3 linked regions of the Macaca mulatta genome follow. Each later gene encodes a partner of the first gene's protein in a complex. Links are inferred from orthologs where the notes say so. Each region holds a gene or a part of one and is shown in the gene's direction. Other genes may lie near its edges. The genes, in order: TMEM216, TMEM107 and AHI1.

Region 1 (3,749 bases):
ACCCTGATTGACAACGGGCTAACAGCCAAGTCAAGTCAACCTGAGTCCTCTCAAAACCCTTCTTTTTGCACTTCCCCGCCTGCAGCAACACGTTTTTGTTTGTTTTTTTGTTTGTTTTGAGACAGAGTCTCACTGTCGCCCAGGCTGGAGTGTGGTGGCGCAATCTCGGCTCACTGCAACCTCCGCCTCCTGGGTTCGAGCGATTCTCCTACCTCAGCCTCCCAAGTAGCTGGAACTACTGGCGCGCGCCGCTACGTCTGGCTAATTTTTGTATTTTTAGTAGAGACGGGGTTTCGCCATGTTGGCCAGGCTGGTTTCGAACTCCTGACCTCAGGTGATCCATCGCATCGGCCTCCCAAAGTGCTGGGATTACAGGCGTGAGCCACTAAGCCCGGCCAGCAACACGCTCTTACCGCTGCAAACCCGAATCAGGCAGGCTTTGAAGCCCAGCTCACATTTTGAAGCCCGTCTCTTGGAAACTGACTTAGATTTCCACCTGGGAGCACTTTGTCCTCTCAGCTCCCACTGCACCACTTTAGGGATCGCGTGGTGACTCGTTTCAGTTTATTTACGTGTGCTCCTGGAAAGGACGCTCTATTTCCCTAGTGTCTCTACCTGGTAGGTAAATAGGCCGCAGAAAAGACCAATGCTAACTCCCATCCCGCATTTGCAGAGATCCGTCGCTCACACCGTTTCTCGTCTTCCGTCGAAAAATGGGAATCGTGGGAGTAGGACCTATTTGCCAGTCTCCTGGTAACATTGTCACAACTGGCCACTTCCGCCCAACGCCCGGTAGCCCAAGGGCCTCCAGGGTCCTACCCCACAACCCCGAGCTCCTGCAGACGACGGCGTCGTGGGCGGTCACTGTTTTCCCTTAGGTCTGGAGAGGGGACATCCGAGCGAGGGCCACTTGCGGCCTGGCCCGAGCTCGTCCCGCTCCGGGTGACCACAGAGTGCCGCGGGCGGGCAGAGGGGCCGGAAACCCCGGCCGCTCAGTCCCTGTTTCCGGCAGCGGCGCGCTGCTCCGGGAGCAGCTGTGGCAGCGTACGCAGTTTCCACGGGGACTGAAGATGGCGCCGCGAGGTGAGATTCCGGAGGTGTGTGAGTCGCTGGTCCCTTTCCCTTTGATCCCTCCCTCGCACCTCTGTCCCAGAGCTTGACCTAAACCCTCCATTCTGTAGCGTTAGGGACATCGCGCCTCCCTGGTCCAAAGCGGGCTTCCGCGGACCCGCCCACCCTGGGTCCCTGAAGGTTTCAAGGTGCGTGGGTCAAATAGCCGCAGATCCTTGGCTGGGCCACTTCTAGGATGGCTCAGGTACGAATCTGTTGGTCTCCACGCCCCAACTTCCCCTCCCAAATAGTGACAGGGTGAGATCTTTGAGATGTCTGTCAGCTGCGAGTTACCTCTTAACTTTTACTCCTGAAGCCGAAGAGTCGAGTTTCGCGGTGATTCCTGGGAAACGAGTGAAGCCTCCTCCACATCCACCCCGTACCCTCATTATCAGCAACCAGAAGTGCCCCTGGGTGGCCGGTCCCATTAGTTGCGGCGTCTGGTTTCCCCAGTTAGACACCAACCCATAGGAGCAGAGAGGGAGCTGCCTTCCTGCCCATCCCACTTTTCTGTGCTGCTGTTTCAGGTAAACGGTTGTCCTCCACCCCGCTGGAAATCCTGTTCTTTCTGAACGCGTGGTATAATGCTACCTATTTCTTGCTGGAACTTTTCATATTTCTGTATAAAGGTAAGGAAGGCATGGGGCTTGACGACAGCACCCCTTCCCCACTTCAGCTCAGAGCCAACTCCGACCAAGAACCTTCTTATTTTCCGCTCTTTTCTGCCCCCTGCGGTTCTTTGTCGCTGCAAGGCAGGCCTCCTCATCAGATGGCTTCTTTGAGTATGAGTATGGCATCCCCTCAGCAAGAATTTCTTGAGTTTGGGAAATGTGGGCTTCTCCATTCTGACTCTGCCCACATCACTGGTCTTTGCTGAGCTCCACTGTAAGCCCATTGATGACCCTTAGAAACTATTCAGTGGCCCGTGTACCCATGTGCATCCACTCATTCTGGAGAGAGGAGTCCCCAGAGTCTTTTGGAGTTAGGAGTAAAATGGCATAATAATGAGCCTGGGTTGCACTGTGAGTTTATGTATCCTGCAGCTGTAATAATGCCCACATTTCACTAGCTCATGGAAAGCTGAGACTGATGTCCTTGAGACTGATGTCTCAAGTGTGTGGCAGTTCTTGTGGATGCTGTTTTATGCTATTTGCAAACACTGGCTTTTGTATTCGCAGGTGTTCTGCTACCATATCCAACAGCTAACCTAGTACTGGATGTGGTGATGCTCCTCCTTTATCTTGGAATTGAAGTAATTCGCCTGTTTTTTGGTGAGTGTTGTCCAGAGAATATTTCCACTCTTTATGAGACAAGCTGGTATCTCTAACTTGATTAACAAGAAAAGTACATCACCTAGGTTGACTATCAGAGACTGGATCTGTATATCCCATTACTCCCTCTCTGAAGTTTCAAGTTGCTGCTTCATACATTGGGGTCAGGATTTACCTGTTTGTTGCTCTGTAAGGCTAGAGATGGGCAATAGAATGTGATATTAGATGATTCCTTCCCAGCTGCCTAACAGCAAAAGGAGTGCCTGGTTCTTCTCACTAGTATTCTTGGGGGAGCAGGTTCAGTTGTAGCTCCATGTCAGGGCAGGCAGCATATCCTGCACAGATCAGTACTAAGATCCCTAACAATACTCTGAATAAGGATCTCTGTAGGATTTTTTTTTTTTTTTTGAGATGGAGTCTCTCTCTATCGCCAGGCTGGAGTGCAGTGGCACGATCTCGGATCACTGCAGCCTCTGCCTCCCGGGATCAAGCGATTCTTCTGCCTCAGCCTGCCGAGTAGGTGGGACTACAGGCGTTCACCACTGCTCCCAGCTAATTTTTGTATTTTTAGTAGAGACGGGGTTTCACCATATTGGCCAGGATGGTCTCCATCCCTTGACCTTGTCATCCGCCTGCCTTAGCCTCCCAAAGTGGTGGGATTACCACTGCACCTGGCCGGATTTTTGTTTTTTTTTTGGAGACAGAGTCTCACTGTGTCTGCCAGGCTGGAGTGCAGTGGCACGATCTCGGCTCACTGCAACCTCCGCCTCCCGGGTTCAAGCGATTCTCCTGTCTCAGACTCTTGAGTAGCTGGGACTGCAGGCGCCCACCACCATGCCTGGCAAGTTTTTGTATTTTTAGTAGAGATGGAGTTTCACCATGTTGGCTATGATAGTCTCGATCTCCTGACCTCATGATCTACCTGTCTTGGCCTCCCAAAGTGCTGGGATTATAGGTGTGAGCCATCACACCTGACCGGATTTTGTTTTTTAAACATTTACTTATTTGAGACAGGATCTCATTCTGTCACCTAGGCTGGAGTACAGTGGTACGATCATAACGCACAGCAGCCTTGAAGCCCTGGGCTCAAGCAGTCCTCCAACTTCAGCCTCCTGAGTAGCTGGGACCACAGGCATGCAACATCATGCCTGGCTCATTTTGTGTTTTTTGTAGAGACAGTGTCTTGCCTCATTGCCCAGGCTGGTCTGAAACTCCTGGCCTCAAGCAATCCTCCCGCCTTGGCCTCCCCAAGGTGCTGGGATTACAGGCGTGAGCCAACATGCTTGCCCTGTAGGACAAGTTTTATAATCCCAGAAATACAGAGCAAAACCCTTATTTGTTAGAATATGTCATCCCTGAAATAAATGG
Region 2 (3,749 bases), on another chromosome or scaffold:
TTTGTAGCACCTATTATCTTACGGATTTATTTGTTTGCATGTCTGTTGTTGATCTCCCTGACTAGAATACTATTACTAGGTAATAAATAAATATATAAAAATATTTGTTGAAGGAATGAGAAATGCCTCTTGGGCTTGTACTTTAGTCTGGCTAAAGGCACTGAGACGTCGAGTGGGAAGTAGGAAGATATTGTTCTCCTGGGAAATGGGCCGGGAGTTTCCTTGAGGATGGGACTTGACTGAGCAATTAGAGAAGAACTTTCAGATCTGCAGGGACCTGCGCTGAGGCCCAAAGGTCATGACGTCGCCGGTGATAAGAGCTTCCTGGACTGTAGCTGGGCAATGTCGGAGGTCCAGCACCTCCAAGAGATAAAGAAATCTAAGTTGAGTTTCCCTTCCCGTAGGCTCCAAGCCTCCCAGAGACGCAGGGACTGTACCATTCCCTTCGTCCACTCCCACCTTTCCAGCCACCTTGCTTTGCTCTTATTCCCACGCTAGTTTAAGGACGCTGACCACTTTTTGCACTCTGCAAATCCTTCACCAAACTGAGCAAAGTAGTCTGAGAGAAATCAGTCTTCCTCAAGGAAGGTTCAGGCCTAGGGTCCTCAGACAACCAGGGGCTCTGTGACAATCTGTAACTGCCGAGCAGTCCAGGAACACCGGCCTCTCCACGTTCGGGTCCCTTGTTTCTCAGGCCCAGCTTGGTGGGAAGTTAAAGGCATGAGGAGAGGAGGAAGGGGAGCGGGTGTGAGTCTTCGGCATGGCGGGGACCTCAGCCCGGCGTGGCGGTGGGAGTGATCTCAAGTGATCCACAACTGGGCAGCGTAGCTGGGGCTGGGGGCCGCTCCCGGCGTGGGCAACCGCGGAAGCAGAGGTGTCCCCAGGCTAGGCCAGGGTGGGTTTCCGTTCGTCGGCCCTGCGTGGGCAGATCGGGCGCTGCGGGGCTGTGCCACCCCTCACCCTCTGAGAAACAAAGGGCCTGGCTGCGCACGGGTACCCAGCCATTGGGTTAGAAGCTCCTTCGGGTACCCCTGACCTGAGTTAGCCCTGAAAGACCCACAGCAGATGGAGAATGTACTGCTCTCGCGAGGTTTTCCGAGAACGCGGCAGCACGCCCGCGTACGCGGTTACCAAGGCAACTGGGCGGTGCCTGAGCTGGCGGAAAGGAGGAGTTCGTCTAGATTTGTCCGCTTGCTGGTGGACTTGCGGGAGTCGCAGTCTCTGAACTTCCAGCCTCAGAGACCGCCGCTCTTGTTCCCAAGGGCCATGGGCCGGGTCTCAGGGCTTGTGCCCTCTCGCTTCCTGACGCTCCTGGCGCATCTGGTGGTCGTCATCACTTTATTCTGGTCCCGGGTAAGACCCACGGCTGCCCTCCGTCCGCCCCCATTCCCATCTCGGAGTCGTCCCCGCCCCACCCTGCCCCTCTCCCAGTGTCTTACCCACTTGGGTTTTCTCGTGTTCCGCCGTCCCTAGGCCTGCCCAGCAGCCTGCCCCTTTTTCACTTCTCTTCCTCTCTGCCCTGCTCCCAGGACAGCAACATTCAGGCCTGCCTGCCTCTCAGGTTCACCCCCGAGGAGTATGACAAGCAGGACATTCAGTGAGCTCTTGGGACGGGGTGGCCAGAACGAAGAGGTGGTGGGAGTGGAGGGGTCTTAGAAGAAGTCCAAAGGCCTGGGCCAGTCCACTTCCTCTCTGCAGGCTGGTGGCCGCGCTTTCTGTCACCCTGGGCCTCTTTGCAGTGGAGCTGGCCGGTTTCCTCTCAGGAGTCTCCATGTTCAACAGCACCCAGAGCCTCATCTGTATCCTTTCTGCCTGCCCACCTTTCCCACACGACCCATTTCTATCAGGACTCCCTTCAGCCACCTGACACAATAGTGTCTGCTGTAGCCAGTCTCTCCAGTTCAAAGATCTTCAACCATGTGCTAAATCCTGCTGTTTACTAGGCACTTAAAATTCCGAAATGAGAGTAAAATACAGTTTTTGGCCAGGCACGTTGGCTCACGTCTGTAATCCCAGCACTGTGGGAGGCCCGCGCAGGAGGCAACATAGTTAGACCCCGTGTCTACAAAATAAATAGTAATAATAAAAACTCCACTTTTTTTTTTTTTAACCATGAGGAGGTAGATACACATCTGTAATTCAGTGTGATAAGCAGTGTGCTATGGGAGTGTGTAAAGATAGCACAGGCAGGGTGCGATGGCTCACGCCTGTAATGCCAGCACTTTGGGAGACCGAGGCAGGTGGATCACCTGAGGTCAGGAGTTCAAGACCAGCCTGACCAACATAGTGAAACCCTGTCTGTACTAAAAATACAGAAATTAGTCGGGCGTGGCGGTGCACTCCTGTAATCCCAGCTACTCAGGAGGCTGAGGAAGGAGAATTGCTTGAACCCAGGAGGCAGAGGTTGCAGTGAGCCGAGATCGTGCCACTGCACTCCAGCCTGGGCGACAGAGCAAGACTCTGGCAAAAAACGAAAGATATAAAGCACATTGGGAACTCAGAAGAGGCAACGGAAGCCAGGCACATGGGTCAGAGAATTGTGGACCAGGAGGACCAGGACACTGGAGGCTGATTCCAGCGCATATCAAGTCGCTGTCAGCACTCCTGTGTGGCATAGCAGGAGAGCCTACTCTTACCTCTCATCTGAAGGATCCAGGCTGGCCCCTAGATATGGAGTAGGGTAGCCTGAGATCCCATCTGCGCAGTCACTTCTGGTCTCTCCTCACATGACTGTCCTAAAATTCAGAAGTCGGGGATGCTGACTCTAGCCCTTGCAATATGGTGAGGGAGCAAACGATGAACCTGAATGCAGATGCCAACCCCACCACTGGCCTTTGGCCTTTTCTGACCCCTCACTATCTGTCGATCCAAAGACTTTCCTTAACTGTGGTGCCTTCTCAAGCCATTGGGGCTCACTGTAGTGCATCCGTGGCCCTGTCCTTCTTCATATTCGAGCGTTGGGAGTGCACTACGTATTGGTACATTTTTGTCTTCTGCAGGTGTGGTAGCATCCAATATTCGGGAATGAGGGAGGAAGGCTGACCCTAAACCTGAGGGTTTTTCCCCTACCCAGCCCTTTCCTCTATGTGGGAGATACCAGATCCACTTAACATCCTGTAGTCTTTTGAATTTTCATTCCCTACCCCATGCCACCTGTCCTACACTTTCAGGGGTGGGGTCTCTGGTTTGGAGATTTGGGTATTTATATTGAACGGGTTTCTGAATCTACCACTTGCCTCGGTAGTGCCCTTCCAGCTGTCACTGAAATGACTTTATTCGTCACCGTCTTTGGGCTGAAAAAGAAGCCTTTCTGAGCACCTTCATGACGGGAACCTAAGGACGAAGGCTACAGGGGCAAGGGCCGCTTCGTATTCCTGGAAGAAGGAAGGCATAGGCTTCGGTCCTCCCCTCGGAAACTGCTTCTGCTGGAGGATATGTGTTGGAATAATTACGTCTTGAGTCTGGGATTATCCGCATTGTATTTAGTGGTTTGTAATAAAATATGTTTTGTAGTAAGATTAAGACATATACAGTTTTCAGGGCACAATTGAAATGGCGAAACTACTGAAGAAAAAAAAAGAAGCAACGTTATTTTCTAGTTCTGCAGACCGTAAGATACTTGGTATCGCTTCTATTTTGGTTATTACGGTAGTTGTCTGGCGGAAGGGAGTGGGCGGAGATATGTAAATAGAAAGTGCTTACAGTTAGAACGTCCAGCACGTAAATGATCGGAGCATTCTGGGAAAAAG
Region 3 (3,649 bases), on another chromosome or scaffold:
ATGGTGAAACACCATCTCTACTAAAAATACAAAAAATTAGCTGGGTGTGGTGCTGGGTGCCTGTAGTCCCAGCTACTTGGGAGGCTGAGGCAGGAGAATCGCTTTGAACGTGGGAGGTAGAGGTTGCAGTGAGCTGAGATCGCGCTACTGCACTCCAGCCTGGGTGACAGAGTGAGACTCTGTCTCAAAAAAAAGAATAATGTAGTATGTCTTAAAGTTGTAAAACATAAATCATTTTATTATCTGAAAGAATAAAGAAATTTATTATATCTATTAAATAGTCACTTTTTACATAATTTCAGAGACTAGGCATGTAGGCTGTCACTATAATTAATTGGCATGGGATCCAGATCAAAAGGATAATACTGCTGATTTACTCAGTTCAGCTGTAGGGATGTTAATAAATTTAGAACATATTCAGGAAAGAAAGGTATCTGAAAACTAACTCTGTCATAATAGCAGTAGTTCAGATTGTAAAAGAGACATAAAGACTTTCTTCAACTATTTGGCCGTAAGATACCCAAATGTGCAAAAAAAAAAAAAAAAAAGAAATTGGTCCATTTTACTCCAATGGGTAGAGGTGGGCCAAAGCTGTAGAAGGTAGATTTTCTTCGTTCAGAATTACAAAGAATATTTTAATACAGGAAGCAGTTCACCAATTGAATAGCTGTTTTGTAAAATACTGAATTCACAGTTGCTGAACAGCCATCTGTTAGTGGTGGTGGTTGAGATATTCCTGAGTGGGTATGAAGTTGAACTTTCTGAGGTCTGTCAACTTTAAGATGACTTGACTCCAAAGAATTGATGTTAAATTGGAATACCTGTTATTTATTATTTTATTCATTTCCTGATCATTTAATGAGTTTCTACTGGGTCTCAGGTATTATGCTAACACTATGTATTAGAATATAGGTATTTTTCTAGGACTCCAAAACAGATTTATAGGTTAATAAAGTAAGAAATAATGTTACATGTAGGATGGTTCAAATAATTTGGCTTTGGAATATGAGCCATATACACATGTACTGAGAGGCTCATTTCTTTTTGTAGTTAAATTCAGGTAAGTGACAAAGGGAAATAAGTCATCAAAAATAATTTAAAAGAGTAAAGAATTCATTTAAAGATAATTGGGGTTTGTTTGTGAGTTGCATTTTGATTTTTGACTTTTTTAAACTGAAATACCTTTTAATAGCCCTTCAATTCTTTGACTGTTTTACTGGGGTATGGTTTCCCCCAGTCTCCTATTATTTGTTTCTAACTCTGGGACATTCATAAGTGAGTAATCTTGTTTTTTAAATAGGTCATCATATGTATTCAGGAGACTGTACAGGGGTGATTGTTGTTTGGAATACCTATGTCAAGGTTAATGATTTGGAACATTCAGTGCGCCACTGGACTATAAATAAGGTATAAAATCATATTTTATATTATGAGATTTAATTAAAGAAGTTGGAAAACTCCAGTCACATGACTTTAAGATAGAATGTCAGGACATTCTGTTCTCTCATTTCAAAAAATTAACACCTTTCCTTTTTTTTTTTTTTTTTTTTTTTTTTTTTTTGAGACGGAGTCTTGCACTGTCACCCAGGCTGGAGTGCAGTGGCCGGATCTCAGCTCACTGCAAGCTCCTCCTCTCGGGTTCACGCCATTCACGCCATTCTCCTGCCTCAGCCTCCCGAGTAGCTGGGACTACAGGCACCCGCCACTTCGCCTGGCTAGTTTTTTGTATTTTTTAGTAGAGACGGGGTTTCACCGTGTTAGCCAGGATGGTCTCGATCTCCTGACCTCATGATCTGCCCGTCTCGGCCTCCCAAAGTGCTGGGATTACAGGCTTGAGCCACCGCGCCCGGCCAACACTTTTTCTTAGTCAATTATCTATAATTAATTAGCACACCCTCCTGGTGGTTGATTGATGATCTAATGACTTAGTGAAGATTTTTAAAATTTCGGCCAGATGTTAGTTTCACTTTTTTATATCCCATTTGCACTGTGGCATTCAGTAATCCATTGGGTGACATTTATGCTAAAATGAGATGTATGTTATATTACCATCGATAAGTAATAATTTATATTTTCTGTTATATCCTTTTTCCTTGGTCCAATAGCATCTCTAAAAACAGTGTTCTTAGTACTTTGTCAACACTGGTGTCTTTCAGAGTTATGTAATTATTATGAAAGTCTGTCATTTAATCAATAATTATTTCATTTGAAATTTGCTAAATGGAAACAAATGAATAAGTTCTTTCATTGGGGGCTGGAGTGTTTTTAAGACAGCTTGTAAAGCAGTTTTGTTAGTGTACATTTTTTACTTTTTATTTAAAAACACAAATGAATCATTAAACTTGAATTTGTTTTATATAAATTGATCCAGTTTCTGCCTAACATATTATACCTTTTTCTTCCATTTTTCTTAATAATGACAGTAGTTGAAAAAAGACACGCTAAGTGAAAAATAATTTTCATGAATTTTAGTTAAATCCATTGAGTCTGTCAGATCTGTTGAAAAAGCATTTCATCTGTTGTTAGAAATTCTTATATAAATAAGAATAGAAACTTGAAAATTAATAATACATGTGGTTTTGAATTTATAAAAATTGGAAGCTTCTTACATGATTTTAAACAAAAAATTTAATGTTACAAGATGTGTTTGTTGGAAGTGCTTCTTGTTTGGGATTGACTAAATTTTGGGAAAGTGAACATACTACAAAAACACATAATAATTAAATGTGCATTTACACATTGCATAACAACACAAAAATACAGTTCATCAGCTTTATTTTCAACCCTAAACTGAAGTTACTCAGAATCCTTTTGCTAACAATTATAAAGCATCCTATACTGCAGAATTGGAAAAGATATTTTAAGATTAATTTTGTACCCCCAAAAACGTTTAACATTAGATTAACTTTTCATTAGTAGTATTTTTTTTTTTATCATTTTAGGAAATTAAAGAAACTGAGTTTAAGGGAATTCCAGTAAGTTATTTGGAGGTTCATCCCAATGGAAAACGTTTGTTAATTCATACCAAAGACAGTACTTTGAGAATTATGGATCTCCGGATGTAAGTATATTTCAGTATTGACAGGATAAGTACTCACAGAATAAGTAATGAATTAAATTATATTTATAAAATTCGGTAGTGGTTCTCAACTAGGCAGTGTCCCCACACTCACCAAGGAATGTGTGGCAGTATGTGGAGATTTTTTTTTTTATGTTACTTCTAGTATCTAATGAGTAGAGATCAAAAATATTGCTAAGCATCCTACAGCCCATAGGACAGTCTCCCTAAAACAATTATCCAGCCCAAAATGTGAATAGTTCTGAGGCTGAAATGTAGTTAGTTGCTTTTATTTTCACAATTAAAAAAAAAGAAACTTCTACCTTCAACAATGATATTGATTGATACTGATATTATCACTATGATACTGTTACAGCATTAGTATAATATGATATAACAACAAGGCAGGGCTTGTGATTTATACATCCTTGTTTTTTTCCTTTATTTCCAAATAATGGTGAACATAGGGAAATCTTCTTCCTGTAAAAGGTAGAAGCAGCGTTCTGGGAAAATCAGCATGGACTTCTAGTGCATTTTTGTTTGGTGTTAGAGATGGTAATAGTGCCTGCCTGGCACAAAGTATGTGCTGAA

What was found.
Region 2: TMEM216 (region 1) and TMEM107 share a complex: the UniProt entries of both Homo sapiens proteins name them as parts of the tectonic-like complex. The link is inferred for Macaca mulatta from reciprocal best matches to the Homo sapiens genes TMEM216 and TMEM107.
Region 3: TMEM216 (region 1) and AHI1 share a complex: the UniProt entries of both Homo sapiens proteins name them as parts of the tectonic-like complex. The link is inferred for Macaca mulatta from reciprocal best matches to the Homo sapiens genes TMEM216 and AHI1.

The regions. Positions count from the first base shown.
Region 1 is NC_133419.1:12,654,367-12,658,115, reverse strand, and holds the start of TMEM216 (transmembrane protein 216), read left to right. Parts: upstream 1-1,050; 5' UTR 1,051-1,070; coding exon 1,071-1,083; exon of another isoform or gene 1,084-1,097; intron 1,098-1,637; coding exon 1,638-1,739; intron 1,740-2,288; coding exon 2,289-2,381; intron 2,382-3,749. UniProt on the Homo sapiens protein: Part of the tectonic-like complex which is required for tissue-specific ciliogenesis and may regulate ciliary membrane composition.
Region 2 is NC_133421.1:9,692,612-9,696,360, reverse strand, and holds TMEM107 (transmembrane protein 107), read left to right. Parts: upstream 1-1,174; 5' UTR 1,175-1,266; coding exon 1,267-1,353; intron 1,354-1,529; coding exon 1,530-1,597; intron 1,598-1,680; coding exon of another isoform or gene 1,681-1,698; coding exon 1,699-1,799; intron 1,800-2,636; exon of another isoform or gene 2,637-2,735; intron 2,736-2,902; coding exon 2,903-2,999; intron 3,000-3,244; coding exon 3,245-3,314; 3' UTR 3,315-3,569; downstream 3,570-3,749. UniProt on the Homo sapiens protein: Plays a role in cilia formation and embryonic patterning. Requires for normal Sonic hedgehog (Shh) signaling in the neural tube and acts in combination with GLI2 and GLI3 to pattern ventral and intermediate neuronal cell types.
Region 3 is NC_133409.1:40,532,261-40,535,909, reverse strand, and holds part of AHI1 (jouberin), read left to right. Parts: intron 1-1,300; coding exon 1,301-1,407; intron 1,408-2,942; coding exon 2,943-3,061; intron 3,062-3,649. UniProt on the Homo sapiens protein: Involved in vesicle trafficking and required for ciliogenesis, formation of primary non-motile cilium, and recruitment of RAB8A to the basal body of primary cilium.